4 linked regions of the Arabidopsis thaliana genome follow. The protein of the gene in region 2 interacts with the protein of the main gene of each other region in a biochemical or structural test. Each region holds a gene or a part of one and is shown on either strand. Other genes may lie near its edges. The genes, in order: ATG8C, NBR1, APG8A and APG8H.

Region 1 (7,290 bases), on a different chromosome or scaffold from region 2:
CTCATTGGCTAGTCTCGTCAATGGAACGCTGACGTGACAAGATCACGGACGGGTCACGGAGGAACCAAAGCTTTAGCTTTTTTAGGGACCCATGCTTTTTTTTTCACTTCTATAGATCTCTAATTTTGGGGAATTGTGCTTTTTAAATACCCAAGTCAAATTCTTTAGATGATTATGAAATTTGTTGCTTTCTTTATGCTAAACAAAATCTTTCTTGTGGGATCCAGCTGTCTATTCCGGTGGTCCCTACGGTCAAAGTAGTCATCACATTCACCAAGTTTGTCGAGCTTCCGCCGGCGGAGACATTCTACACGCCGCTCTCAAGCCCAAGATTCCTCTACTCCGCCACCGCGGGTGAAGAAGACCATTCCGATGGCGAGAAACCCGATGCTCGAAATTCGATTTCACGGCCATCGACGTGGCTGAGACTAGCCACCGGAAAAGGCTCACATCGACGGGTAGAAGAGGAGGAGCAACAAACGCCGGACCCATTCGCTATACCAATTGGGTATAAATGGACAAGCATGAGTAGTAGTAATAGTAAGTCAGGTAATAGTAGTAAAATGAAGAAATCAAAGTCTACTAAGAGAACTAAGTAGTATCTTCTTTGAGGTATTAAAGATACGAATCAAGTCCTCTTTTAGTGTAGATAATCTGATATTAGTAAAATACAGAGAAGCTGGTTGTAGTATTTCTTTACTATACATTTATATTTTTTCATATGATTAAAATGCTGTCGTTTTTACTCTTTTCGTCGGTCATGGTCTAAAAGAGTTCAATAATAAAAGCTTTCAGATAGAAGCACCAACTAAAGTAAAAATAAAATTGCATAAAAAGAAAAATAACTATTTGTTCATGCTTTCCTTTATTTATGGATCAACATTGGTGGTTGTATTAACTTTTCTAGATACAATAATACTTTTTTTTTATAGCAATTTTTTACTTTTTTTTGTTGCTTTAATATTCGTTATAGTATTCTGTACTAAACTTCGAACTAATGACTTTTGATAAAGCAATCACTGAGTGTTCTGCTTTAGGTTACATAAGACACATTTTAGACGTTTTGGATTACATTCCATTCCAAGCTGGCTTTGTATATCCGATTTAAATAACTTGACAAAGCTACAAAACCTATGAATTACCTAATGAGAGTCCTTAAGAGACTAGAAGTTGAAGTTAATAATATATAGTACATACATAATAGAACACTTAGAATTGCATAAGATTTATGTGAAAATAAAGTCTTTTTAGCTGTAAATCTAAAGAACATAAGATAGATCTGTCACATGGAATGGGACATAATTAGATGGCTTAAATCACGACCAATATCATATGCTTTATACCTAAATATTCCAAAACAATGTTTGCTTCGCAAGTCGGAAACGAACAAACTTGAGTTAATAAAGTGCATTCAAAGACAACCTAAAAAAAAAATATCTTACACATTAACAAATCTAAAGATAAAAAAAAAAAAAAAAAAAAAGACAACATAAACTACAATATTTTACACTTTGTCTAATAAAGAAAAGAACAACACATCTACTATTTGTCTCCATTCTCCGCGTTGGCACTCATTTTGCTAAATCAAAATCGTCTTTCTCCTCCAAAGAAGACCTCTCAAAACATTACAGGTAATTTTTCTTTTCTCTTCTATTTTCTTAGTTATGAACGTAAGTCATGTTTTGATCCAATATGAAAAAACGAATAATTTGTATCTCTAGATGTTTTTATTATGTTTCTTTTGATTGGTTGAAGAATTCATTTTGATATCTAACTATGATTTTCTATTTAGTTTGCGAAAAGATATCGCAATATGGCAAGTGAAGCACCGAGTTGGGCAGATCAATGGGGAACCGGAGGGATCGGGGAGATGCCGGAGGAAGACAACACCAAAAGCAAGAAAGATGCCGGCGGTAAGAACTCTGGCCAAACCAAATCAGCCAAGATTGTTGATTTCGTAAGTTTTAAGTGGATGAAGAATCTTGTCCATAAGAAGAAGAAAGACTCTGATTCTTGAAAGATAAGAAAGAATCATTAAATTTCGATGTTTTGGAAGAAATTGTTTCTTCCTAAGATCTCAATTTATCTATCAATCTATTTATTTATTTTTATTTGTTTTGTCTTTCATATGAGTTAATGCGTTTTGGTGCATCCCACGATCGAAAGTCTTTTGTTCTTTACGACATGGTTTAATATTTTAATAACATGTAGGCAACGCGGCCTCGCTTATCATTAGTTGTTTCTTTTCTCACAAATTGTTTACCACACACGTCACACTAGATTTGCTAACTAAAAAAAAAAAAAAACATGTACGCACCAGAATCCAGATAGTCAAATTCAACCTCAGTGTTTGCAAAAACATGAATGACATTGTAAGAGAACTTAATTCATTTTAAATAACACCAAAGATACACTACTTATTTAGTAGATGTCTTTTTTACCACAAATATATTGCCTAAATATTAATAGATGATCAAAAAATGGTAAAAGAGAATTAATAATAGTTGGATGACACAAGTTGTGTGTCCAAAAGTAAAACCCAAACTAACAACTTAAATTCAAAGCAACATTTACATTAATAGTAGTACATATAACTTTTGCATATTCATAGTGTTATAAAAGAGCATATAATATACACATCAGCACAAAAGCATTGGAAGGCACACATTTAAACCAAACCAAAGGTGTTCTCTCCACTGTAAGTCATGTAGAGAAACCCATCTTCGTCTTTGTTCTCATCATAGATTGCAGACATCATTGCAGCTGCAAAAACATCAATAAAGAAATCTTTTATCATTGTTTCGAATTTGCAGAGAAGTGTATGCGTAGATTACAGTACTAAGTTAGCAGCGGATTTCATGAGAGCGAAATTAACATAAACCAGCTTTTATGCTAAGAAGTTGTGTGTTTACCAGTTGGAGGCAATGTGTTCTTCACAAAGACGAAGATAGCCTTTTCGGCACTCAGCTTGATTCTTTTACGGACAACATACACAAATTGCCCAACAGTTAGATCAGCTGGAACAAGGTACCTGAATCCAACAACCAAAGAGTCACAGATCAACACATTTCCCTGATATAAGACTCTTTTAGTCTTCAATAGAAGATCAATCTCATTCCGTAATACTACACATAGATAAAGTTCTTCAAGATAATGTTCAAAGCAAGGCACACTCTTTCTTGTTAGATTATCAAGTAAACAAAAGATGTGTAGAACTCATAAGTTGCCAACAAGAAAGAACAGCAGGAACAGAATATCACTACTCATTACTCACTTCTTCTTGTCGATATTGGGAACATCACTTCTTTCAGCTCTCTCTACGATCACCTACACCATGAACTACCTCTGTTACAAAAGCAAAGCTACATGCAAGAATTTACACAGAGAGGTACATAAATGCTGGAAAACATTACTGGAATTCTGTCTGGATACTTCTCCCTGATGCGAGAAGATTCAATTTGTCTCCTCTCTGCCATTACCAAAACCCCCAAATAATGGTGAAAGAACATCAGTGAACTGATCAATCATTAGAAACATAAGAGATTTGATCGATCGTATATCAAAGTCTCTAACAATCCATTCAAAATCGTCTCTTTTAAAAGGGTAACAATCAAAGATCCATAATTTCTAGTGATCCACTAACAAAACCCAGAAAGTTTTAGTTTTTACCTAGTGGGTGTTCCAACTTGAAAGAGCTATTAGCCATGGCGATTAAAGAATCTGAAATTAAAACACCAAAATCAATCAACACAATCTATGAAATCTGATATTCAATTAGGGATTTCGCAGAGGAAAACAAAAACCCAGAAACTGCGAAATCAGAGGGAGCAACATACCAAAGATTAGGGCTTCTCGTTTCCCCTAAATGTGACTGATGAAGAGAATCAAATGGCAGAAATTAGAAACGATCAAAATTCGATTTTGATGGGTTTCGTGTAGAAAACAGAATTAGGGTTTCGAGATTCCTAATCTATGCACGAAACTGAAAACTTATTGAAGTCTGAAACTTTCGATCAAACTTATCATCGTTACTTTCCTTTGTTGCCATTTGTCCTGCTGCAGAACCGGAAATTTGTACCGGATTATGGTTTGGTTTAGAATAACATTCGGTTCTCGTTGAACTTTTTTGTCTTGACTCATTAATTTGGTTGATTTATTTTATTTTACAAGATACAAAACAAAAAATTTATACGATTTTTTTTTTGTTTACGAATTAGGTCGCATGCAACCATTTAAAGTCTACACTTTAATATGCTTGGTACAGAAAATGTGAAAACAAAAACTTTATTTTTATTGGTTGATGCAATTTAACATTTGTCTTTCCTTTTCTTTTTTTTTTTTTTAATTTAGTAGTGGATTTTCATAGAAACTTTTAGGCCTGGGAGTTCGGTTTTGTCGGTTTAATCGGGTCGGTTAAATCGGTTTTTGGGGTTTTAAAAATTCTGCCGAATTGGACCGAATTAAATTTCGGTTCGGGTCGGTTTGGTACTCGGTTTTTTCGGTTCGGTTACAGGGATTAAAATCAATTCCGAACTAAACCGACCCTTTTTCTAAATCGGTTAATTCAAACCGAATTAGACCAAAATTAAAATTATGGGCTCAATTATTAAATTTACAATTATAAACCAACAATAATAAATTAATAATGGGCTAAATCTAATAAAAGTCCAAGTCCAAAATAAACAACATGCCCAAGCCCATCTGAAATCTAGGTTTTTGACAAGTGAAGAATGATGACGGTGACGGAGACGCCGTTCACTCATGCGCGTCCGACTTTCAAAGGGAAAGAAAGAATAATTAGCGGCTTGACTAGATCTGTAATTCCTACATAGTGCAGATGTCTATGTTTGCCACCACCGGCAACTAGACGAGAGATTTGATGTCGCGGCGGTGAGAAAAAAAAAAAAATTGGATTGATGCCAGAGAGTGTTGGTTTCACAGCAGTAAACGAATATGATAAGCTGAGAACGAAGAAGAAGAAGACTGAAGAAGGAGAAGAAGATCAAAGAAGGATCTTGAGGAGAAGAGTTTAAGATTAGAAAAGGAAGGAGACGACATGAATTGTTGACATAGATCTAGGGTTTCTTCTATTTTATAGGGTGTACCTCTAAACCGAGAAAACCGATCGGTTTAGCTTGCCGAACCGAACCGAACCGTAATCCGAATCACAATATTATTTTTGCCGAACGGTTTGCCTTCTCTTTATCTCTCTGCGCCGAGAACCGAAACATTCGATTTCCTCGGGTTTAGCCGAAATCCCAGGCCTAGAAACTTTACTAGGTAAAATTAAGAGGGAAGTATAGATGTATTTCAAAAATGAAACCACCAAATTAGTTTCAAAATTCAAATAGATGTTGGGAGTAGCAGAGCCCACCAACATGCCTTTGTCTCTCATACAAGTCCTCATAAATACCGATTTTGAAAGCTCTATGGCATTCCTTGTTCCTTTATTTCATTTTATTCTACAAACCTCTCTACATAAAAAGTCACATGTACATATACTACATGTACATGCACTATTCATAGACCCATGTGTATATACTTGGAGATGAAAGCTACCTAATTGAGTAAATTTTACGTTCCTCTTGAATATCGTTATGAGATTTATAAATGCTGTTTTTCTTATCAAATATCAACTGACTACTTTTTCAACTTCTATGTTAACGTTTTAGAGTTAAAATAGTAAATCAAAGATATGGACGTGTCATGTGTGACATAGTGACATCAAACAGATTTAAGAACAATGCGTAGACCAAGCAAGCTTATGCATGAACATATCATGTAGTTATTGTTCCGATTTCCCCGTCGAGGCGTTACGTAGGTCAGGAGAGAGATCAAGAGCATATATATAATTCATAATACATGCAAGATGCAAGATGTAATAATATTATTTATAAATATTGCCTCACAAGTTTCATGAGGATGGAATCCAATTATAAATAAAGTTAAACAAATGAAAACTAAAATCGCAAAAATAACGTATTTTTAACACATTCTCACGTTTTCCACCTAACAAAAATTGTGACGTATTTTTTTGTGTTAGAAGTATGCGATAAATTTGTAATCATAGACTCAAAGAGAATATCCATCACAAAATAGTAACTTTTTCATGGCTTATAAGAAAATCATTATGATATATTTTGTCGTATATTTTGTTTTTTTTTTAAGAGAGAAACGTCTATAATGGTTTAGCTGTTTCTTATGGACTTTTTAATAAACAAGAACTAGCAAGCAATCATCATGAAATTCTTAAAAGTGGTTCAATGTTTTTTTTTTTGTTTTTTTTTTGTAACGGACGACCTAAATATTTTGTTTGATATTTATTATTTCGAAAAGTATTTCACTATTTCTTAAACAAACATATTTTTCAAATTTAATACAACCAACTTCCTTTTTGTTGTGGGGGTTGTTGGCCTAATTCAATGCTTGTTTTCCTCTGTCATTTCTTCATCACCCTCTTCGTATTTATATCTCCTTCACTCTGCAAACCCAAGAAAAAACATTGAAATAGCTCATGTTGTCTCTTTCTCATTTTCATATCTGCTAAAAAAAGAACCGTGTTTTCTAAACTGGTTTAACGGTAAGTACCTGTCTCTAGTAACTTACCTATCAATTTGTTCCAATCATTTACTTGCTTTGACTTATTTGGTTTCCTTTTGTTTTGTTTTTCTTTAATATGTGGATGGAGTTTGGTGTAATAAGCAACTGAAGAGTCGATGAGCGCACTATCGGACATCAAATACGAGATATTGGTGCGGTTCAATCAGAAAACCGTACTCTTTTGTTTTAAAGATCGGTTTATTTGATTGAGCCGTGCCAATATCACGCGTTTAAATAGTTTAAAGATTCTATGTTAGTTGATGTGATCAATCAAGGTATGAATCTATATCAATTCTCTTATGCATAGTTTTATATTTACAGAGATGAGGTATTATCAATGTCTATCGTCGAGGATCACGCTCTTACTTATGTTATATTTCTATATAATTTTATTAATTAGTTTTCTAAAAGAGAAGGACAATTTAAAATTATTTTAAAGAGTTTTTTTTAAGTAGTTTTGTTTTCATGTTTATCTTCTGCAGGCTCTGAAGTTAGGATAGTAACAAGAAAAAAGACAGAAAAAAAGAAGAAAATTCATATACATTCGTGAGAAGATACTACTATTAGCGATAATGAATTCATTACAAAAAACTGTAGCCCAATGTTATAAAGGGTAGTTTCTTCTCTCTTTTTTGTATAGATGATTTATGTCACTCACTCACTCATTAATGTAAAGATGTCTGACTGAAT
Region 2 (9,078 bases):
AACAAAGAAAGATGAAAAGGAAGAGACAAGACAGAAGACAAGACAGAAGTGAGTAGATTCGAACAAGAAACTTAAGGCTGACATTAAACCTTACATAATAAGACTTGGATCCCCAAAAGTCCCAAAATGGAGAAGAAGAAGAAGAGAGATGAGGAAGAAACGAGAGGCTAAAGATGAAAATGAAGAAGAAGAAGAGGAGAAGAAGAAGAGACTAGAGTTGATGAAGGCAGCTGCGCAGGCTTGGCTCAGCCACTCCCAAACCTCAAAACATACTGTTTTAGAGTTCGATGCGCAGAGAAAGCATGCTTTTGTCAAAGGGAAGGCATCACGTTTCAAAACGGAAGCCTTGTCCGCAAAGCATCATCCGTCGTTTTTGGATTGGGAATTCGGACAGTCGCTGTGGGATCCCTACGAGATTCTTTCGGTCTCTAAGAAACTGGAACGCGAACTCACTTTAGAAGAACAAACCTTCTCTTCTTCAGATAATGATGGCCTCAAGAAGATGAAGAAGAAGAAAACTAGAGACAGCAGAAACAGCCTTAGGAGTTTGTTCACTCGTTCGTCTTCAAAGAGATTCTAACAAACTCATCATGTTACTACTTCAAACTTGTAAATTTTTCTCAAAAAGTGAAATCAATTATGAATGTCTTTTATTGGTCTATTCAAAAACTTTTATTGGTTTTTGAATGGTTTCTATGGATAGAATAACAAAGTTTTGTCAGTTGTAAACAGTTTAATGAAGCCGACCACCATGACTAATTGCAACTGCCATGCCGATGATTCGACCACGTGAAAATGTCACCTGATTGAGAGAGATGAGAGGGTAAATGTGAATTAAAACAGTACGTTGTTTCAAGGAAAGCTCTTCTCACAAACTCACATTAAGCCAAATACAGCTGAGAAATGGAGACCAAAAAGGCCTAAAGTGATGAAATCAATAAAAAAGACTCAACCATTCATTTGACCCGAGGAGCAGAACGACATAAACTAAACTGAAATAAGAAAGAAACCATCCATGTCTTAGATAGAGTTAACATAGTAACATCATCCCAACACAAAGCAAAGGAACAGACCATGTGACGCAGCACGAAACCAAACTAAGAGATCAGGTTTTATTTATAAAACATAATTATTCCTGATAGATAAGAGAGATAGAGAAGAGTTGCCAGAAACCAAAGAGCTCATCAAGCCTCCTTCTCCCCTGTGAGGAGATCCATTACCACGCCTTTGATGCTTCCATTGTTCTTCTTCAGCAGTCTCTTGTTCGTCACATCATCACAGAAGCCCTGCAAAATCACAATATTTTCAACATTCCAATCTGCAAAGTAAGATTTAATAAATTCACCAAGTGCAGACACACTTACCATCTCCTGAAGCTCCTCTAGGATTGGATCCCACTCGCTAACTCCACAAAGAGCATCAACAGACTGCTCCAGGTTGTACTCGTTATCCCTCAAGATCTCCTTGTTCAAATCTATCTCCTTGAAACCCATTTCCTCGAGCTCCTTGAGCATGGTTATCTCCACGTCATTCTTTTCTATATCCTCCTGAAGAGGAACTGGCACGTCTTTTGTAGTAGATGAAGAACCACCAGACAAGACCTCAACAGCAGGCATGCTTGGGAAGTCGACCATGTTAAATGAAGAAGATGAAGATGAAGGAGAATGACCGTGAGGGATAGCAGGATGAGCTTCACCAACCAAAAGGTTTTCTTTTTCCACGGCCTGTGTTTCACCAACTTCGCCCTCTAGATCAGTACCTTTCACGGTCCCAGGATTGACACTGGAGCTGCCAGGTTGAGCTGACTCATAATTCATAATCCCTAGAAATTCGCTTGGAAAATTCTCATCAAGGGAGGGGGAGGCATTAAGGTTCAGTCCATGAAACTCATTCACAACAGAATTCTTCAGAGATGCATCAACCTAACCATGCAAAAAGAAAAAATGTATCAAACACATATGATAGAAAGAGACAAAGAATTAAAGGACAGAAGCTGCACAAATCTAGTAAGTACATGTATCAACACCCAAACACGTTGCCCAAACTTAGCACCGTCAGAGGTAGCCATCCTCCAATAAGAAATGTATCGACCAGGTAACTCTGGTGCAACAAAATCAACTTTGACGTCAAGTTCACTATAGATAGGCACACCCTCCTTTGGAATCTGCCATGTGTAAAGAGAGAAAAAAACAGTTAGTATTATATAATCAAGCAGCTATAGTCACTTCGTGAAGAAAACAACCTAACTCAAGCCATCGAGTGTAAATTCAAACAACATAATTGCTCTGTTAGTGGTAAGAATCGAGCTAAAAGAGTGAAAACTAAGGAAATTGTTTCTAACCTGTAAATCAACTGACAAGGAGTTGCAGAACCTGTCCCCACCGATCCAGACAATCTGTGTGCCCTGTGGCCACACCAGCGAACCACTGTTCCTCATTTTCCAAATCTTAGTAAATGGGGCGGATGGAGCAACAACGGTTCCATCAATTACATTCACATCAAGGACAAACCGACTGTCTAGTTTAGGGCGAGTACACCTGAGAGGTGCACCTCCATTGGTTGCTCGTGGCACAGGGTGGCTCAACCAAGGATTAGGAAACTATACCAAAAAAAAAAGGGTAAGAATTCCTCATAGCTATCAGAGAAGACACATAGAATAAACAAGAAGAAAAGTAATTATAAACTTAGAAGAAGAGCAATACTTGGGTAAACGGTCCTCTAAAAGGATGCAGATGTTGAACGGATACAGGCTTATCCATTCTTGTGTAATCCCCCTCGTTACCCATCACCGAATAGCAGATGGTGCACAGATCATAGTCTTCTTTACTGCACAATATTCACAAGCGAAACATATAAGCACAATAAGTTCTAGCATGTTTATAGTTTCTAAAGTAGTAAGTAGAAGGCATCCTTACACTTTCGACTTAAATCTAGGCCCAGTAATTGGAAGAACTCCACATCCGTCACAACGGATGCCCTTATGGAATACACCCAATGAAGTCCAGTAATCACCATTGGTGCTCTTTTTGGAATGACAAACACGACGAGGATGCTTGTTGAGGTTAACTGGATTTGGACAGGAGTAATTCATGGTACTGCCACTAAAGGGACACTCGTTGAAATTAGCACCCAGTCCAGACGAGTTTGGTACATGACCAGAAGTCTTTGAATGAGCGCCAGTGGGTTCATTCAGATTAACAGGTTTCCTTCCGGTCTGGGTCCTCTCAGAGATATCCTTCTTTCCACCAGCGGAAGGAACATCCCTGCTCAGGGAAGCACCTGAAGAACCAGGCTTGGTAACAGGTGAGCAAGGACTACTTTCCTGAGGAATTGAGAGCTGCCCTAGCTTGGAAATGCAATCAAGCATCTCACCAACTACAGGACTAGAAGTTGAGGCCTTGGATGCAAGGTCCATGTACACCTTTGATATGGTATCACGCATCGGGTTAGGTACAGCCATCAGAACATCATTTATACCCTTCTGGATTTTGGAAACCGGGTTAGGCATACCCGCAGGTGTGGAACTCCCACTACTCTCTGGAGCAGCAGAGTTAGTGGACACGCCAGCGTTCACATTGATCTTTAAGAACTTAAGACGCTGATTAGTAACATCAAAGAGATCGTTGTCATCAACAAGGGCAACCACATCCCCATCCTCATCAGAGTAAGTCAGACTCAATTCAGCATCCGCAGAGAGGTTAAAGAGAGCAGCGATCTTTTCCTTAAGACCAGCCATTTCAAGATCAAGCTGTCCATTAGCTTTAACAGGCACCCTGAAACGCCTAAGCACACCTCCATAGCTCACCTACATAATCACAAACAAAATTAGTATCACTTCAATGAAAAAAATGAAAAAAAATTGTCGAAGAAATAGATTACGATTCTAATTACGATAACTTATAGTTTTAATCATTGTTCGGGTATAAGATTCAAGCAGATACTGCTAAGTATGTCTGGAAAATTTTCGAATTACACTTAAGATTATAATACAGAGACAGAGAGAGAGAGAGTCGATCCATAGCGAAATTCAAAAGGAAAGGACCGATTACAAGCAACAAAATCAACAGAAACGAGACGATCGCCACGAAAACCCAGAATCACCGACAATTACTGTGAGAAAACTGACGATTCGCAAATAAAGAAAGGAAGGTTGTATCTCTAACCTTGACGACGAGTGCGTTAGCAGTAGACTCCATCGGTAACGGAGATCAGATCAGCTGGAGAGAATTAAAAGGCAAGCGAGAAGAAACCCTAATTGAAGAAAAAGAGTATCTAGCGAGAAAAAGAGAGAATCGGGGAGAGATTTATCTTAGAAGAAGCGTACCCGTAATCCGCTTTTCTCGTAAACAACCAAGAATTTAGACGGTCGCGTTTTATACTATATATCATTACACAGAATATTTATTAAAATAATTAATTTAATGGGCCCTTTTGTTTATTTAATTAATTTCTGACTTAGCCAACAAGATTTTGACTTTTTTGGTTACTACTGGCTTATCCAGAAAGACAAATCAAACTAACATCCCTAAGTTAAAGCCAAAAATATCAAGAGATACGAGTACATATAACTAGATATTTTATTTTTCATACTAACATTTTGAAAATTGACCAATTCGAGTTCTTATAAAATACTACATCTTTTATGTTTTCTCCAATAAAATGATCAGATACTATTTTATTTTATTAAAACTTCAACTCTTATGCCGACCACAAAAAATAAAAAAACATTTTAAACTCTAATTTATGAAGTTTGAGAAACAAACACCACCAATTCCAAAATCCAAACTCTTAAAACTCTTATGTTTGCTACCTAACCTCATATAAATTTAGTAAATTTAATTAGATATTTTCTTATTATTACGTTTTGTGAATATAATTTATCATATGAACTTTTTCTGTACATTTTGGTGCGTTCTAATAACTTAGTAACATTGATATACAATTTTATAATATAATAGTCATTTGAGACATTCGACATTCGACATACAAAAAAAAAAATATGAGATTCTATATGGCTATATGCAAGTGAAAAGAATTAAAGTGTGACTTGAATTACTAGCATATCATGATGTGATTGTGTAGTTGATGACAAGAGAATATATGGAATAAATAATTGTTTGTACAATTAATTTAGACAAGTTTCAAAACGCATACATTGTATCAATATATCATATATTGTTTTTATATGTGATCATGACAATAAAATATTAGAATAATAGATATAAATATATATATTATACTAGAATTGATATTTCGAGTTATAGATAAATCTAATCATAAAATAAAAAAATTATATTAAATAGATAGGAATTTATCAAAATGAACATCAAAATCAACCAAAAAACATAATCATATTTTTTTAAGCAACTTTAAAAACAAAAATACTCATGAGTATTCATCTAGTGTATACAAAAGGCTACTACAGTAGTTATAATCATATTCAAACAAGTGACTGAAACATATAATAATAAACTCTCAAGACAAAGACTTTTTTTTTTTAATCTGCCAATACCTCCTCGGATAGGTCTCCTCTCAGCAATCTCCCAAGCTATGTGCCTACGAATTAGCTTCCTCAATCGCCATATCTCAAAATGCAAGTATCCTCAGCATGGCAGCTCTTACTACCTAAATAACAATAAGAGGCCAATCTTAGTTTCTATCACCAGTGAATCCATGACCACCGTTTCTCCCACTAGTACCCCTTTGCTGTTGGTATCCACCCTGCCTTTGCTGCCCCTGTCCCTTCTCTCTGTATCTTGGACCTTCTGTCTGAGAACTCTCTTTCGATTGTTCTCGACTACGTTCTCCATCATAAGTATGAGACCCAACAGGTTTGTATTCATAATGCAGATTTTGCTTCTGTCTATCTCTGTTTGAAGGTGGCCTCTGATGGTGATGGTGCATATTCTCTTGCGCCGGTAAACCCCAACCTCCTTGTGACTCCTGCCCTCTTCCAAACCGTCGACCCTGCCCTGTGTTCTTTTGGAACATACTATTCGGATTTTGCTCAACCTGGACCTCCTTATTGGTAGATCGGTTTTGCAACTGGGCTTGTGTATCAGCTGATGTCGTTTTTTGTTCTGTAGTAAACCCTTGATGCTCGTATCCAACAACATTTTTTTCCTGAGATCCATAAGGTTTGTCCCTTGTACTTTCACGACCACCATACTTACCTGTCCTATTAGCTGTATGCCACACATGATCTCCAGGGACACGACCTTCTTTTGAAGCAGCAGGCAAATCTGGTTGGCTAAACCCATGGCCAGAGTGCTGCGTATGAGCTTTATTGAAATCCCTCTTATTGCCTTTTTTAGGGTCACCATAGTTGCTTCCTCCATCCTTGTTGCTTCTTGAAGCATGCTGCCTGCCGTGCATGCTCATTCCTTGATCTTTTCCAACAGCACTGGATTCCATTTCTTCGGCAGCAGAGTAATGCGTTTCAGGAGTCATATACCAGCCATCGTTCCATCCATCCTTATTACATGTGGTTTGATCCTTGGCAGCAATTTGTTCGGTTTGCTTACTAGAGTGATAGTTCACTGTTCCTCGGATGGGCTGATTTGAGGTTACAAATTGTCCATCCTCCAAAGCTTTAGTAGGTGCTCCAGAACCTCTCTGGTGCCATGATGCATGTTCTCTACCATGCTTTCCCTGCCTACCATTCCCATGTCTTGACTTTGAAGGAGACCCAGATTTCCCTGCAGTTGAACCAGAAGGTTGGAGAATTCCTGTACCCTCACCTCCACGATTTTCTTTCTGGTTTACATTCTCCGACATATCTGGAGCAGAGGTTACTAGATTTTTACTGACGATTTGCTCAGCCATTTCCTTTACTATAGGCTTCGGTACATATCTTTCAATTTCCACTCTTTTGCTTTTAGAACTAGTCTGTCCTTGATGCTGACTTTTTGAAGAGGTGCCAAACTCAGGGACAGTAGTCTGACTCCCTCCACCAGTGGAAACATCAGCTTTTTGCTGTGGATGTACTGGAGCCCAAATAACAGCATTGTTGCCAGAAAATTTCTCTGCAGGCTTATTTACCAGTGAGTTTCTTTGAGTCCTACGCACATGTTGAGATTTCCAGTTGTTTTTAGCTCTGTTTTGAGACTCTTCATTAGTGAAGGAACTGATTTGTTCAGACGAATCACCAGACACTTTGATATCCAGGCTTGGAACTGAAACAGACCCCAACTCAATTTCAGCTGCCCTTGCCCTAGCAGTCTCAATTGACTCATCTCCCGATTTTGTTTCTTTTCCAACGGCAACTCTTGTAGTATTCATAGTTGCTGTCTCCTCAGCCTTGTGTTTTTTCTTACCATTCCTGTTATTTTTTCTTTTCGGGAAAGTTGACTCAGCTGAAACGGTTGACGTCGCTGGCATGTCTGAGTTATTGCTTGAGACACCTTCATTAACAACCTCAGGAGACGGGACAACATCAAACACCTCTGCAGTAGCAACAGAGCTCCCTGTCGGTTTTTTCTCAAATATAATATTTTGCTTCTGCTTATAACCCAAGCGCTTCTGTTTTGAGGCACCGCCATCACGTGGAAGATTATCCTGTTGGGAAGGGCCCACATTATTTGCATATTCTGTTGAAGTCCTCGTGTTTTGCGTTGTGTTTTTTCCTGATCCTCCAGTAGGTTCTACGGAATTTGTAGCATTAGATGAATGAGATCCAGGATCTGTTGGCATGTCAGCCGGAGAAGCATTAGATGCAGCTTCCATGTTCTTAACTGAACCCTCCTCATATATTTGGGAACGTCTATTTAACTCTTCTAGTTTTGCAAGAGCCTTAGCCCGCTGATCTCTCGCTCTTTCTTCCTCCTCTTTCTGCCTCTGTTGAGCACGCTGCCTGGCTAACTCTCTCATCGTAGAACGCTTTTAAGGGAACATGGCAAACACTCAGTCAAACCAAAAAAGGATGACTACAAACAAGAGATACATAAAAGTATAAATAACAACCAGAATCATATGAACTAGTTTATACCTGGTTATCCTTTGGGTCTGCTGATATTCCCGACCCAGGCCTCCTGATGGACTCGGTATCCAAAGAGTCATCGACATTAACCTCGCGAAAGCTTTCTGTGTTTGTAGCTAAAGTTGTATGGGAGGAGCCTGACATAACAGTTGTCTTCTGCCAAGCATCATTGCCTTCACTGTTCACTATTCGTTTGGTCTGCGGATCTGCTCTGCCTTGAGTCTGTTGAGTAGGTCTCCTGTAGGTACTAACATCAAAACTTTCCCGACATAAAGGATGGCATAACTGGCCGAAACACAATTGAAAAATGATAACTGACCTGAATATGCTAGTTCCACCCATAGCTGCGGGTTCAGCATTCTTGTTTGTGGCAGAATCACCTTGATTATAGTGTGATGAGTTCTTACTGTCACTTGCATGACCAGTTCGATGATTTCTGGCTGAAACTTTATTTGCAGAGTTCCCAGAATTGAGTGTACGTGGTTGGCTTTCCTGCTCATCTCTATTAACAACAGATGACGAATTTTGCCAACCATCATTAGTTCTAGTTTTTGCATTTAAGCCCTCGATTTTCTGAATCAAACTAGGATCTCCAGGGGCAGCAAGTTCTGCTTTGACTGGTTGTACTTCACCACTTGCGTCATTTCTGATTTCTCTCCTCTCGTTTCTTGAAGTTTGCATCTGTTGAGCTATCTTCTCTGCATTCGGGAGCCTATTTCCAAGAAATTCTTCCCGCTTTGCATTATCTTCCCCAAACCTCCCATCTTGGTGCTTTAGGAGAACCTTGTATGGCCTTTGTGTTTCTTGAGAATGTGATGACTCGTTCCGTTCCAAAGACACTGAACTTCCAGGCGTATCATATCCACCTTGACCAGAATGATTGTTATAAGCATGCGGACCAGTAGGCCTACCTGCAAAAGGTAGGTCTCTGTTGCTGGGACTGCCATACCCCATGGGAGGACCATAGTAGCCTTCGTGTGGCGCTGGACCAACATAAAACCCAGGCCTAGTCTGCATCCTTGGGTGGACATAAGAGTCAAGCATTGGAGGTCTGAACATTCTTTCATTATTAGCGTGATTACCCCTAGGACCAGCCCCAT
Region 3 (7,220 bases), 1.1 Mb from region 2:
TCCTCATCTTCTGCGAGGTACATTCCTAAAGGCAACGAGGTCTCTGGAGGGGCAAAACAGTCATCTGCTCCAATGAATATTCCTGACTGGTCCAAGGTTTATGGGTATTCAAAGAAGAACACAAGCAGCCACTTGCATTCATGGGCCATTGACGATGATGATGAAGGCTCAATGGTTCCTCCACATGAGTTAGTAGCAAAAAGACTTGCAAGAACGCAGATCTCATCATTCTCTATGTGCGAAGGAATCGGAAGAACGCTCAAAGGAAGAGATCTCAGCAAAACAAGAAACGCTGTCTTAACAAGAACTGGTTTCTTGGAATCGAATATCACATCTTCATCAACAACATCACCACCATAGTTTTGGCATGGCATGGAGCATGGCTGGATGATCAATATCACATTCACACAAAACCCTTTTTAGCACCATACCATATCATTATCATGAAAAAAAAACCTAAAACCTTATGGTATCCACATGATTTTTATTAAATATCAATGTTATTGTCGTTATCACCATGTAGGGAATCATGACACTACCAATATGGTTGAGTTCTCTTTTTTTTTTTTTGTTGTTGTTGTTGTTGTTGTTGTTAGGTTTTTGGATTTTTTTAGATAAGTATGATGACGATGAGGATGACTTGTCAATCCCATGCATGGGCCCATACCATTTTTCTCATGTTATGTTTGTAGTTCTCAATGGTCTTTTAACTCTTTAGCAGTGCTTAGTGAGCTTAAATTATAGTTTAGCAAAACAAAATGGCATATACTTTGGAACCTTTGAATGTGAGAAATTTGAAAGCACTCTCGATCTCTTCACCATTTTGGCCTCGACCAAGAGAGAAAAATGTAGCGAATAATGTTAACATTTTTGGTCCGACACAAGGTTAAGGGGCTCGTTCCATATTGCTCACTACCTTTCACTTTTCAATGTTATATAGCAACTAGACATGGTGTTACTAGGGGAATGGGGTATATGTATCTGTTATCTATTTCGGTGTGTTGATTTAATTTTTTACTTCGTGTATTCTTGAACCAATCTGCAACTGAAAAAGTTGTATTTGAATTTGGATTAATTCGTTTCGTTGCTAAATATCCATTTCAAGATATACATAATAAATATATTAGTTAATTTACTATGGTAAGATATATTTTCAAGAATGAAGTTGTATAAATAAAAATACTTGTTTCGATAATTTTCAGTTTTATTCACGTCGGTACTATCTCACCCGTACTAAATTTGAATTGCCGACAAACAAAAAAAATGTCAAGTTCGGTTGGATTTTTTATTTTGTTTGGATCTACTCAATATATAAATAGTACCAATCACACTATAAACGAAATTTACTCATCTTTCCTTGGCCCTAGCAACGGTTCATGATAATCATTCTTTCTTTTTACAATTTACTTTTTCGAAATAAAAAATTGTAGTAAAATTACAGTTTCAACTAAAAAAAAATCTTGTACAGAGGTGCCACAAAAATGCAATTCAATTTTATATAAAAATACAACGACAACAAATTTGTTACTTTGTCAAAGCGGATTATTTGGCACGAAAAATTCGTGCGGAACCGCTACATATCATTTTTGTAAATAATTTTCTTCAAAATTGGCTCGTTTGAGTCATAAATAACACCTGATGACAAAAAAAAAAAAAAAATTTTTTTGTTACTTTGTAAACTTTTGCTAACCAAAGCCTATATAAAGGCCCAATTAGCCCAAAACGACACAAAAATGTGTGAAGAAATAAACAGATGGTGGTGACGTAAGACAAGTGTAAGAGATTTCTTGTAATCCAATCAACAAATAATAATAAACGAATTCCAAGTGGTTTACTTATTCCAGAAACAGTTCCGTGTAGGCAACCATTAGGAAAACCCTAACTAAATTCCATTATTAATTTCTTTTATAATCCCTTTCTCTTGACATTGACTTCTCTCTCTCGATTCTTCTTCTCCAGTTTCAATCAAACTCAATTTCTTCTCAACGAACCCTAATTTCCAACAAATCGGATTCAGTTTCTTCTTCGGGTATGTTTCTTCTCACCAATAAATTCGAGATCTTTTAGGGTTTTCTGGGTTTGTTTCTCCCCCGATCTAGCAGACGATCGAGTTTATTAATTATGATCTTTGCTTGCTTGAAATTCGCAGAGACTAATCGAATCGCAATGGCTAAGAGTTCCTTCAAGATCTCTAACCCTCTCGGTTTGTTTCTTCAAATCCCTTTCTCATCGAATTTTCAATTACTTGATTTTTTGTTGAGTTTCTGAATTCTGTTAAAACTTGCTTTAGATCGTGTATGGTTTTGATTTTGGAACTCAATTTTGATTGGTTTTGGGATCAGATTTAATCTCTGCATACGCTTTTGATTCTTCCTTTGTTGTTCGTTTCTCTGTTTTTGTTTCTAAGCCAAGCTGTGAGATTTTATAGATATCTCTGTTTAATGATGTACTTGTCATTAATCTTGTGGTTATGTTTTGTTAATCAGAGGCAAGGATGAGTGAATCTTCTCGAATCAGAGAGAAGTACCCTGACAGAATTCCCGTAAGCTTACAAATTCATGAGTTGATTAACTTCTTTTCACTAAATTTAGTCTAATTTAGAATCTTGGATTGTATGTAGGTGATTGTGGAGAAGGCTGGACAAAGTGATGTTCCTGACATTGACAAGAAGAAGTGAGTAATGGGTTTGCTTTATTTACTCTTTTTCTATATCATAATCTTGATAACTTATGTTTCTTCCACTTTCTTTTAGGTATCTTGTACCAGCTGATCTAACAGTGGGACAATTTGTATACGTGGTTCGTAAAAGAATCAAGCTTGGAGCTGAGAAAGCTATTTTTGTCTTTGTTAAGAACACATTGCCTCCAACTGGTAAGAGTTCTTAAACTCTTTAACACCATTCAGGATCAAAGTTTCTTTCTTTACCACTAACTTTGGTTTCACTTTTGTTTCTTAACAGCTGCATTGATGTCTGCGATCTATGAAGAACACAAAGATGAGGATGGGTTCCTCTACATGACTTACAGTGGAGAGAACACTTTTGGATCTCTTACCGTTGCTTGAATAAAAATCGATCTTTGGATGACTTTGATGTACATACATAAATCAGGAAGATAAAGATGTACATTGCTTCCTTCTTTTCTCTGGCTTTTAACTTTGCTTTGGATGTTTGGATATCTTTCCCTTTGGGTTTATTAATCGTCAGAAACTTCTCCTTTTCTTACTTTCCTCTTTTGCTTTTACTTAAATAACATTGATTTTGGGGCTAATGAGTAATGAGTCACTTTCATATCAAACTTGTTCATATCCATCACAAAGGCAAAAAAGGAGTAATACACTGAAAATTGGTAAAAATAAACTCACAAAAGGCAAAACCTTGGCGTAATTATTTTTAACCACAGCTATACAAAAGGCTAAAGCTCCAAATAGAGATTCTCATCTTCACCTTCTTCATCTGTTCTAGCAATCTGGAACGAGACTGGATGGTCTATTATTGATCTCTTCGTCATCGTAGAGTCGGCGGATTTTATTGCGGATTTACCGAACAAGATTCAAGAAAGATGTCAAAGAATCAACATCTCTCTTCTCTGATGGATACTTGATTGGTCTTGAAGAGTTCTTTGGGAACACAAGTATTGTTGGAAAGCTTCCAAGCTGCAACTCCTTTTTGGCAAAGTCCTTCTGGTCACCATCAGCTCTAAACTTAGCAACCTTCACACCACTTCCTCCCAGCTTATCCGCCAATTCATCGAATGAAGCTTCCATTGCCTGACAAAACGGGCACCACGGTGCATAAAGCACAACGATCCAAGCCTCTTTCCGGTTCTCTAACTTCATCAAATTCTCAATCCCTTGCCTGCTCAAGTTCACAACATTCTCGCTATTGAAGATATCCGCGACTGAGGCTGTCCCGTTGACATTAGCGGTTGCGTTTCCATTGGTATTCTCCTTGATATTCCCTTTGTGAAGGCCACACTCTTTAGCCTTAGCATCTTCCCACCACCATCTCCCTTCTCTCTCATGCTGACCCGGCAAAACCGCTCTCGTGCATGGCTCACATCCGATTGAAACATAACCCGCAGCGTGAAGCGTGTTGACAGGAACATCCATCGTCCTCAAGAAATTCCAAACATCATTCCCTTCAACATTAGCAACCGGATTCCACTTCACCAAACTACCAACTCCACCATCTAATCCTTCAAACACTGGATCAACCTGAACAACAGGAATCTCCGATCTTGTCCCGGGTGATTGATCTTTCCTCTGACCAGTGATCCAAGCACGTAAACCCTTCAACGCACGCCTCAAAGGTCTCACCTTTCTAATACGGCAACACTCCTGGTGACCATCTTCATAGAAAGAGAACAAACCCTTGTTCCTAACTAAAGCTTGAACCTCAACAGCATCAGGAAACATATACTCAATCCGAATACCGTAATGTTTCTCCACGGTATCGAAGAGTCTATATGTTTCTGGATTCAATCTCCCTGTATCCAAACTGAATACCCTATAAGGTCTTCCAGTTAAATGAGCATACTCAATCAGAGCAACATCTTCAGCTCCACTGAAACCAAACAAAACAACAAATCAGCAAACTAAAGGAAAACAAAAACATTCCTTTATTGTATTCTCATGATTCAATTCATTACCTAAAGGCAATAGCAATGTCATTCCCAAACTTCTCAAGAGCTTTATCCATGATCTCAAGAGGAGAAGCATTCTCTAATCTCTTTGCTAGTTCCTCAAAGTCTTCAACTTCCACCACATCTAGCTTCTCTGTAACCTCTGTTTTGTAATGAAGCACAAGATCATTAGCATAAACCTTAATCAAATTAACCAATGATCAATTGAAAAATCAAACCAGAACTTACCAGAAGCAACAATGGATTCCTTTGTAATTGATTGCACATTAAGAGCTTTCACGGAGGATCTCTTCCCGGACAAACTCAGAGAAGCCGCAGAGACATTGGTACGATTCAATAACCTCAATGATCCGATTTTTGTTACTGTATTGAAGAATCAAACAAACAAATTGAATAAGATTCGACATTGATCGAATTTGAACGAATTTAAAACCAAAACACAATGACCAATCAAGGCATTTCTAAGATTCTCCACGAATTTGGTATTGAAAATGAAATAAATTACCTTTGAGATCTGAAGAAGGGAAGCTAGAGCTTGAGATCGCAGAAGAAGAAGATGAAGAAACGTTGATTGCTAGTGCCATTTTCACTCCAAACCAAATCTCTCGAAACAATGTTCTTAAGTTTTTTTTATTTTTGTGTTGTGTTTTTTCTAATTTTGTGTTCTCTTAAGATTTGTTGAGAGAAATGGGATTATAAAAGAAGCAGCTGAAATTTAGGTTCATTGAACCTAGACGTCTTTTTTTAGGTGGCGGCATTTGCTTTTCTATATATCATTGCTTGCGTCACTTTGGTCGTGTGGCAGAGAAAACTAGTCAACTTTGGTCCAAGAATTCTTTTTTTTTCTATTAATGTAACATACACTTATCTCAAAAACATTTTACACGCTTAATTTTATTTTAGAGCTAACAAAAATAATCTAATAATAAATTAATCTAATTTGTAAAATATAAACATGGTGATATGTTTGATTATTAATTTTAGATAAATACTTTCTCGTGTATTCTTTCCTTAAAAATCCGAAAAAACGATCATATTTATAGAATTAACTAAATAAAAACAGTTGAGATTTTCTTTCACTGAGATTATTTTTCGTTTGTTACGATTCTATCATTTAGTTTAACTTATCAATTTATCTACAAAACCTATCGATCTCTTCATTTCTTCTAGAAATTGCACGAACCGATATTTCATAAACCATATTTTACAGTCAAAATTAGTCTTGGTTGAAAAACAAATTCCGATCCTAACCACAAACACTTTTGGGTTCTGTTAAAAACAAACATAAAAAAACATCATACAAAAGTATATCAGAAGCAAACTTGTGATCTTAAACCTTCCAAGATTTCATAAGATCAACAAACTAAATTATTCTTATTCATCAACCAAGTCTATAGTAATCATGATCTCAACAAATCAATTACTTGTCTTCTTTAGCTTTCTCTTCTTCCTTCATCTTCTTTTCCCACCTTCTCTTCTTATAATCAAGCAACATCTGAGGCATCTTCAACATAAGCTTCGCAGTGTTCTCTCTTTTCTCAGCTGAAATTCTATCACATTTATGCCCTTTCCTCTTTGTCCTCATAGCTTTCCTCTCTGGATCATAAGGCCAATCTTCTCCATTAGTCAACACTTCTTTCCTCAGCATAGCCCTCCTTCGTGCACTTATCCCTAACGGTTTCCATGCTCCCATCTCCCAATAACCCCACACACCTTTCGTCAACTCGGTTCTGTACTTATCGAGTTTCGCCCTCCATGGATGTTGAAACCCTGTCACTGTCTTTGCCACAGCTTCTGCAGCTTTTCCAGCCATAACTTCTGCATATGCCCAAAACCACAATTCTTTAAAGATGATAATATCTCATTGTAATCCAATTAGCTCACAATAAGTTAAGAAACCTATAAACTTGCTAGCTAAAAGCAGAGGAGATCAATTGAAGGAAGGTATTATATGATAGTGATGCATAGAAGCAAAAAGATACAAACTTTGAATCCAAAGAGAGATTTGGTGATGCATAGAAGCAAAAAGATACAAACTTTGAATCCAAAGAGAGATCATAGTGAGAGTGAACTTGACACAACATTTCTTACAAATCAAACGCAGATTGGTTGAAATGTTGTTAAAAGAAGAGTCTTTGGAGACTAATTCTTGATTTACTACGCAGAAATGTGATGCAAATGGATCTAAATCCTCTAAAATTAGGGTTTGATAAGCTCAACGCAAGGATTTAGTGACTGGGTTTCGTTAACTAAACATCATCACAATCGATTTCGATTCCAAATCTAAGCCTCTCGAGTACGGGAGCAACTAGGTTCATCAATCTCTTATAGCTTAATACGAATCTACTTAGAGATCGATACGAAACTTGGAATCGGAATGAGAGAAAGAACTTACATAAAATTGGAGATCGGAGACTGTGAGAGCAACTTTGAGAACGCGGCGCTGATGAAGAACGCAGACAAGGGTTGGGTTTTTTGGCGTTAGTAAACCCTTTTCCTATTTCTTTTTTGTTTTCTCACCCAAATTATTTGTAATTACTTAGTATAAATATTTTAAAAATCATGTATATTTCCAAA
Region 4 (7,246 bases), on a different chromosome or scaffold from region 2:
AATTGTGTAAAGTTTAAAGTTCATACCGCTCTATCGTCGTTAGAGATTGAATTTGTTGCTTCAGAATCCACTTCAACAGCCGACGCTACTACTACTTCGTCATTGATTGTCTGTGAAACCACCACCTCCGCCGCGGACGCCACCGCCAACGGCACACATGCGTTCTTTGTTCGAGCCATTTCTCCAAACCTACAAACAAAATCATTTGGATTAGCACTACTCTTCAATCAATTTCGATCACAAAACCCAATCTGAAACAACTCGAATCAAATCGACGAACAGTTAAATCACTTACCCCAATTTCTTAGTTTCCTGTAGATATACCAAGATCGACGAACAGTTATATTGTTGTCGTTGACGAGAATTGAGAATGATTTTACTGGATTTTACAGTGAAGAAATAAAGAAGAAACAAAGGAAAAGAGATGTGAATCGATTTTACCGCAGAGAATTAGGGGAATTAGGGTTTTATTTGGATTTGACCCGAAAACAGTGGACTTGGATTATTTTAGGATCCATTTGCCCTGGTTGGGTTGTAATTAAGCAATATTCTTAGGGTTTTCTGAGTAATTTACTTCGTTTACGGAATAAAAAAAATCAAAAACAAATTTTTATAAAAAGAGTATATGAGATTACTCTTCAACCAAGAGGAGCCGCTGAGAATTTGGTCCCCTTGGCACGTATAAACCCTAGCAGAGACATTAAACCCTGAAAGTAATTAGGGATCACTGTTCTCCGGCTCCGGCGAAAAAATCCCTCGAAATCGTAATTCTCTCATACGTCTCCATTTCTGGGTTTAGCGTTTCAGCAGCTTCCATTTCAGATTCTGAAATTCACCGAATTTTCTCTGTCTTTTGTGTTTATTCTACTAGAAGATTCTTACGGCTTGTTAAAATGATTGTTGATACTATCACTGTCGACTCTTATTTGTGTTGTGTTGCTTTTCAGGATCCTAACCTCAATTGATTGAAGGAAGTTATGTATTCGCTTTCGAGGATTCTCCAAAGGTAAAAAGCTTTCTAATTTATAAATTTTGGTTTTTTTTTTCAATTTTTAGAGCTCTTGTGTGTGGTTTAGCAGCAAGCAAATTAGATCTTCTCTTATGGGGTTTGTTATGATTTATTTGAATTGAAAGTTTTATTTTTTACTTGATTGTGTCATTTAGGAGTCAAAGATATAACTTTGCACCTTCTTCGTTTGGTGCGGTCAGTAAATTAGAAGTATCAAGTGGTGGTGATAAAGAACGGGTCTTTAAATCATTTGGATTGATTTATAGCAAACCTCAAGGTTTAGTCAGACTTTATTCCGCAAGAGATGTGTTTTCACGGTTCTTTGGCATCCACAAGCTTTCTTCTATAGCTGATGCTAAAGATAAAGGAGATGAGGTAGTTAGGGAAGAGGAGCTGTCTGAATCAGAGGAGGCGGTTCCTGTTTCTGGGGATGTACCAGAGGGAGTTGTTGATGATGATTCTTTGTTCGAGCCTGAACTTGGTAGTGACAATGATGATCTTGAAATTGAAGAGAAGCATTCGAAAGATGGTGGGAAACCAACTAAGAAAAGAGGTCAATCTGAGCTGTACGAATCCATTGTTGCTTATAAATCAGTGAAACATGTTCTTGAAAAATGGGTCAAAGAAGGAAAAGATTTGAGTCAAGCTGAGGTTACTCTTGCTATACACAATCTGCGTAAACGCAAATCCTATGCTATGTGTTTGCAGGTAAATATGTTCTCATTTTACACTTTGCCAAATCTTTTATTGTTCTGTCTCTATCACCCTCTTAATGTGTATGTCTTTGCTTGGGCTTTGGCATTTGCAGTTGTGGGAGTGGTTGGGAGCTAATACGCAGTTTGAGTTCACAGAGGCAAATTATGCTTCTCAGTTGGATTTGGTGGCCAAGGTACATAGTTTACAAAAAGCTGAAATCTTTTTGAAAGATATTCCAGAATCTTCTAGGGGAGAAGTAGTATACAGAACCCTGCTGGCAAATTGTGTACTTAAGCATCATGTAAATAAAGCTGAAGACATTTTCAACAAAATGAAAGAGCTAAAATTTCCAACAAGTGTGTTTGCTTGCAACCAGCTGCTTCTCCTCTACAGTATGCATGATAGAAAGAAGATAAGTGATGTTTTGTTGCTAATGGAGAGAGAAAACATCAAGCCGAGTCGTGCTACCTATCATTTTTTAATCAATAGTAAAGGTTTAGCCGGAGACATAACTGGAATGGAGAAGATCGTGGAGACAATTAAGGAAGAAGGCATCGAACTAGATCCTGAACTGCAGTCTATTCTGGCTAAGTACTACATAAGAGCGGGGCTTAAAGAAAGAGCACAAGACCTTATGAAGGAGATAGAAGGGAAAGGTTTGCAACAAACTCCATGGGTGTGCCGGTCATTACTCCCACTTTATGCAGACATAGGAGACAGTGACAATGTGAGAAGACTGAGTAGGTTTGTTGATCAAAATCCGAGATACGATAATTGCATTTCTGCCATTAAAGCATGGGGAAAGCTGAAGGAAGTCGAAGAAGCAGAGGCAGTGTTTGAGAGACTTGTGGAGAAATACAAAATTTTCCCTATGATGCCATATTTTGCCCTCATGGAGATATACACAGAGAACAAGATGCTAGCAAAAGGCAGAGATCTGGTTAAAAGAATGGGAAATGCAGGGATTGCGATTGGGCCGTCGACATGGCACGCGCTTGTGAAGCTATACATCAAAGCAGGAGAAGTTGGAAAAGCTGAGTTGATATTGAACAGAGCTACAAAGGATAATAAGATGAGACCTATGTTCACTACTTACATGGCGATTCTTGAAGAATATGCAAAAAGAGGCGATGTTCATAACACAGAGAAGGTATTCATGAAAATGAAAAGGGCAAGCTATGCAGCTCAGCTTATGCAGTATGAAACCGTGCTCCTGGCTTATATCAACGCCAAAACTCCTGCTTACGGGATGATTGAGAGGATGAAGGCAGACAATGTGTTCCCGAACAAGAGTCTAGCTGCGAAACTGGCTCAGGTTAATCCGTTTAAAAAGTGTCCAGTGTCTGTTTTACTTGACATATAACGATAATCATCTTATGTATTGAGCTGTTAAGTGTTTGTTCTGGTTGCTTCCAAGCTAGGAAATAATAAACAGAGGATTCGTTTTTCTTCCAAAGTTTCTCATTTTTGAGTTTGTGTTCCTGTGGTTTTTTGTAAGTGACATAAACTGGAATAAAATTGAACTGGACTAGAGGTACGTGGAAAAAATTATCGAACCGAAGCAAAAACTAGACTAGTAGAAATTGGAAGACGAAACCGAGAAGTTGAACCGTAAATAAATAAACACATCAGAGCCGACATGAACCGGGTTGGGTATATCCAATGACGTGGGACCCAGCAGATTATAAGAGAATTGAAAAATACAAAAATGCGGTGAGCGTGGATCGAACACGCGACCTTCAGATCTTCAGTCTGACGCTCTCCCAACTGAGCTATCCCCGCTTTGTTGTTACCTTAACGATACGTCAAATAATTAATCTCTAGTTTAAATTTCTATTTTCTCAATTATTCCTTTTGACTTCGCCGCTTGCTTTTGAGAGACGGAGACAAAAACACACACGACGAAGAAATCTCCGGGCGGTCGAAGAAGATGAAATCGTTCAAGGAACAATACACGTTGGGTTCGTTTCTATCTCAAGATCGATCACCGTTCTCTAATTGTTCTCTGGTTGATTAAAAACGAAAGTAATCAATAACCTTATCTCTTATCTGCAGATGAAAGGCTCGCGGAGTCGCGGGAGATAATCGCTAAGTACCCTACTCGGATTCCAGTAAGTATATATCCAGCTCAATTCTAATTCCTTTTCAAATTGATTCCTCCGATCTCTTCAATTATCCGATGTACCCGAGAAGATGATTTTGTTTGTTTATGTTCAATGACAATGAACTTCTAAACCTGGAAATTTTTCTGAGAATTGGATAATTTTGTAGGTAATTGCTGAGAAGTATTGCAAAACGGATCTGCCTGCCATCGAGAAAAAGAAGTAAAAATTTCTCATCTTAAGATTTTGATGATCTCGTCTTGCCTAGCTTATGACTTGTTTGATTACCAAAATCATCTTTGGTTCAATTTATGCTTTACTGAAAGCTAATTTATCCTATAACTTCAAAGATTCATACACATTTTTAGGAGTTAAATAGCTGATTTAGTTTCAAAGTTATCACTTTTGATTTGAATAAGTGGTTTCAATATGATCTGAGAGTTGTCTTTGAATGTTAGGTTTCTGGTTCCAAGAGATATGTCAGTTGGCCAATTCATCTACATATTGAGTGCTAGGTTACATTTGTCTCCTGGTAAAGCCTTATTCGTGTTTGTCAACAACACTCTCCCTCAAACTGGTGAGTTTCTGCTTCAATTGGGTTTTGCTTCTAGGCTTTTTCTAGGAATAGTTTGTTTGATGTCTTCTGTGTTTCCTTTTCTCTGCAGCTGCTCTGATGGACTCGGTCTACGAATCTTACAAAGATGATGATGGATTCGTTTACATGTGCTATAGCAGTGAGAAAACCTTTGGTTGATCCAATAATGATGTTAGTGTCTGTGTACATATACTTTAAACATAAGATGTTCACTACATCAAAAGACATCAAACACTTGTTAAGCTTTATATGACTGCTGCTTGTTTTATCCTTAGACTTTGTTCATCTGTGCACAATCGTTCTACTACAGTCTCAGTTCCAACTAGTATTTCCCCTTAACGCTCTCTTTGTCATCATTGTTTATCTTCCTGAAAATGCAAAAGACCAATGGATTGTTTTACTAGGGGAAGAGTTTTGTGCTTCCTCTCCAGCAAGCACCACGAAGTGGCCACCAACCGGCAAATAGTTCTGGCTACTTTTGGTATCTTTATTAGATTCTGGTTCAGGCTCTGGGCTACAAACATAAGAAATAAGACTTGACATTGTAAAGGTAAAACACTAAACAAAAACTTGGAAGAATATAGAGGAAACAGTGTGGAAGAGTATACACATGTATTGTCTGTCTGATATCTGGATAATCTTTCCAAGTATAGAGTTAACATATTCGCAATTTCTGATGGTAAATGCCTAGTGTTTATATATTTGTATTGTGGCTATTTTTTCTGTTCTTACACCTTTTCTGGCTTCTAATTACATAATGGCTTGTGCATTCAAGAACTCCAATCTTCTTTTAAGAAAATAGAGGCTCTTCTTCTGAACAAAGGTATACTTTTCATTACCATCAAAAGCCAACATAATCAAATGTGCTTGCATCCTTCAAATGTCTCAAGGCAGAAAATTTTGGTGACAAATTCCAAAACCATGAACGGTTTTCAGTGCTTTCAAATGTGTGCCCAAAAGGTATAAGCTTTGTTCTGAAACCTCTGGAGAGAAGAAGAAAAACCAGCCTTGTCTAGAGGTTGGAGTTATTTAGCTCTTGATTTACATAAAAGATGAGTGAATATAACTTTATGTCAAGGAAAGTAAAAAAAAAAAACAAAGAACAGCCAAACCCATATCTGTAAATGGGCCTTTAATGGGCTAAACCGGTTGGTATGATTTCGCACTCGTGATGTGATGTGATAATGAATGTGCAATGGGAATAAAAAAGAAAAGGAAGAGAGAATCTTATTTTTGGCATGTACGTATGGTTGTGAATTGTGATAATACAACCGGCATATGGTCATGATATTCTAAAACGGGACCATTCATTGTCGTCTTATTTACAAATCACATGGAGAGAAGGATATTACAAAATATCGAAACAGAGAGACTATGATTTATTTGTCTTCTTCGAAATATTGGTTTTTTTTAGCTAAATGCATAGAAGCTTATCTAGTTAGTCTCTTTCCACGGTCAAAATTGTAGTCGTTCGTGAATGTACTTCGTGTGTTATGATTTATGAAAAAATCTATACAAAACAGTTACTGTTTGAAAATGTGTCAAACGAAATGATCCTTTTTAGGTAATTCTTATCTTAGACGACCAAAACCAAATTAAACCATAATGATGGAGTTTAGTTTACAGTCAGAATCAAAACTAAGAATGTAACTAAAAATCGTTCACTGTATATAGTAATTAATTGGTTAACACTAGAATACAAATGCCATTTAGCATCTCAGAGTAAGACAATGACAAGTCTATGCATTAATTTCATTCTCTTTGTCATATATATAAGGTAAAATATCTCTATAATTGTTTTTAATATACAAGGCAAATCAAGGGAAATTGTCTTCATCCTTCTCTTATCCCTATCTTCCTCCACAACCTCTCAATCCTCTCACATTAGGATTATCTCTAATCAAAACCGTAGCACATATTTAGATCATTATACATATATTCTTATTCAGCTGAATTCATAATACAGAGTAAAATCTATGCTACATAATGGATAATCTTCAATACATCTTTGCATATTCATATCATTCTAGTAACCCTCAATTTTTAATTTCTTTTTAATCAAACGATGTTTTAGCATACATATATTTTATTTTTTTTGCATGGAACCTATATAAATTTGAATCCGAAAATATAATAAAATACTTTTTCATGTAGTCATTTTTTTTTTTTTTAATAGTCAATAATTCTATCTGAACGAAATATTTTTTTTTCAATTTTAAATCAGAAAAAATGTTACGATTTGATTGTCGGTCACTATTAGGCAGCTACAATGTATCAATAAATATTATGTTTATCAATTTTTCACGAAAATGAAATCTAACTAATTCGTTCGTTAGTTTCTAAAAATCGCAAAACTTTTTGAAATTCTGTGGAAGTCATGATTATGTTCTGTGATGAGCTTTTCGAGCAAAAAACCATAAAACCAAACTTTAAATAAAAAGACCATCACTTCACTTTGCTCTCTTCTATAGAAAATCATCTTCTACTACACTACACATCGAGAGCTCACTGTGAAGAAAAAAACTCGAAACAAATGAAGAAAACACTTTCGCCGGAACCCGTCACCATCTACGGCAATCGCCAAGAAACCTTCGTCGGTGATATGGAGTACTACACTTACTTCGACGAATCTTGTATCCAAGACATGAACTATTTCGTCAAAACAATCACCGGCATCAAATCCAAAGGAATCAGACCAGACCTTATCGGTTCCATCATCGCTCATTACGCTTCAAAATGGCTCCCTGATCTCTCCGGCAATGTCTCCGCCATTATTTCCTCCACCTCCTTAGAATCCAAGAACAACCACAATGACACACAGCCAGAGAGCGTCACTGCATCTGT

What was found.
Region 1: the proteins of NBR1 (region 2) and ATG8C form a complex in vitro, tested with the Arabidopsis thaliana proteins (one study listed by BioGRID).
Region 3: the proteins of NBR1 (region 2) and APG8A form a complex in vitro, tested with the Arabidopsis thaliana proteins (one study listed by BioGRID).
Region 4: the proteins of NBR1 (region 2) and APG8H form a complex in vitro, tested with the Arabidopsis thaliana proteins (one study listed by BioGRID).

Annotation. Positions count from the first base shown.
Region 1 is NC_003070.9:22,929,632-22,936,921, reverse strand, and holds ATG8C (Ubiquitin-like superfamily protein), read right to left. Parts: upstream 4,163-7,290; 5' UTR 3,837-4,162; intron 3,721-3,836; 5' UTR 3,707-3,720; coding exon 3,670-3,706; intron 3,470-3,669; coding exon 3,414-3,469; intron 3,328-3,413; coding exon 3,275-3,327; intron 3,032-3,274; coding exon 2,913-3,031; coding exon of another isoform or gene 2,893-2,912; exon of another isoform or gene 2,764-2,892; coding exon 2,669-2,763; 3' UTR 2,482-2,668; downstream 1-2,481. Other genes in the region: AT1G62050 (Ankyrin repeat family protein), read left to right, coding at 228-599; AT1G62045 (ankyrin repeat protein), read left to right, coding at 1,814-2,017. UniProt on the Arabidopsis thaliana protein: Ubiquitin-like modifier involved in autophagosomes formation. May mediate the delivery of the autophagosomes to the vacuole via the microtubule cytoskeleton.
Region 2 is NC_003075.7:12,736,309-12,745,386, reverse strand, and holds NBR1 (ubiquitin-associated (UBA)/TS-N domain-containing protein / octicosapeptide/Phox/Bemp1 (PB1) domain-containing protein), read right to left. Parts: upstream 4,356-9,078; 5' UTR 4,197-4,355; coding exon 4,164-4,196; intron 3,806-4,163; coding exon 2,916-3,805; intron 2,827-2,915; coding exon 2,703-2,826; intron 2,600-2,702; coding exon 2,342-2,599; intron 2,165-2,341; coding exon 2,015-2,164; intron 1,923-2,014; coding exon 1,365-1,922; intron 1,287-1,364; coding exon 1,185-1,286; 3' UTR 717-1,184; downstream 1-716. Other genes in the region: AT4G24700 (uncharacterized protein), read left to right, coding at 149-580; MOS1 (modifier of snc1), read right to left, coding at 5,650-7,878, 7,988-8,216, 8,298-9,078. UniProt on the Arabidopsis thaliana protein: Autophagic substrate degraded in the vacuole by non-selective autophagy. Requires ATG8 protein expression to be recognized as an autophagic substrate. Acts probably as a receptor for autophagosomal degradation of ubiquitinated proteins.
Region 3 is NC_003075.7:11,653,747-11,660,966, forward strand, and holds APG8A (Ubiquitin-like superfamily protein), read left to right. Parts: upstream 1-1,866; 5' UTR 1,867-2,121; coding exon 2,122-2,203; intron 2,204-2,486; coding exon 2,487-2,542; intron 2,543-2,620; coding exon 2,621-2,673; intron 2,674-2,752; coding exon 2,753-2,871; intron 2,872-2,959; coding exon 2,960-3,063; 3' UTR 3,064-3,288; downstream 3,289-7,220. Other genes in the region: AT4G21970 (senescence regulator (Protein of unknown function, DUF584)), read left to right, coding at 1-360; APR3 (APS reductase 3), read right to left, coding at 3,538-4,564, 4,650-4,785, 4,872-5,006, 5,149-5,227; AT4G22000 (tyrosine sulfotransferase-like protein), read right to left, coding at 6,064-6,456. UniProt on the Arabidopsis thaliana protein: Ubiquitin-like modifier involved in autophagosomes formation. May mediate the delivery of the autophagosomes to the vacuole via the microtubule cytoskeleton.
Region 4 is NC_003074.8:5,271,390-5,278,635, reverse strand, and holds APG8H (Ubiquitin-like superfamily protein), read left to right. Parts: upstream 1-3,540; 5' UTR 3,541-3,635; coding exon 3,636-3,666; intron 3,667-3,760; coding exon 3,761-3,816; intron 3,817-3,976; coding exon 3,977-4,029; intron 4,030-4,265; coding exon 4,266-4,384; intron 4,385-4,472; coding exon 4,473-4,561; 3' UTR 4,562-4,762; coding exon of another isoform or gene 4,763-4,945; 3' UTR 4,946-5,110; downstream 5,111-7,246. Other genes in the region: AT3G15590 (Tetratricopeptide repeat (TPR)-like superfamily protein), read left to right, coding at 978-1,006, 1,165-1,717, 1,818-3,068; AT3G15578 (uncharacterized protein), read right to left, coding at 4,763-4,945; AT3G15570 (Phototropic-responsive NPH3 family protein), read left to right, coding at 6,936-7,246. UniProt on the Arabidopsis thaliana protein: Ubiquitin-like modifier involved in autophagosomes formation. May mediate the delivery of the autophagosomes to the vacuole via the microtubule cytoskeleton.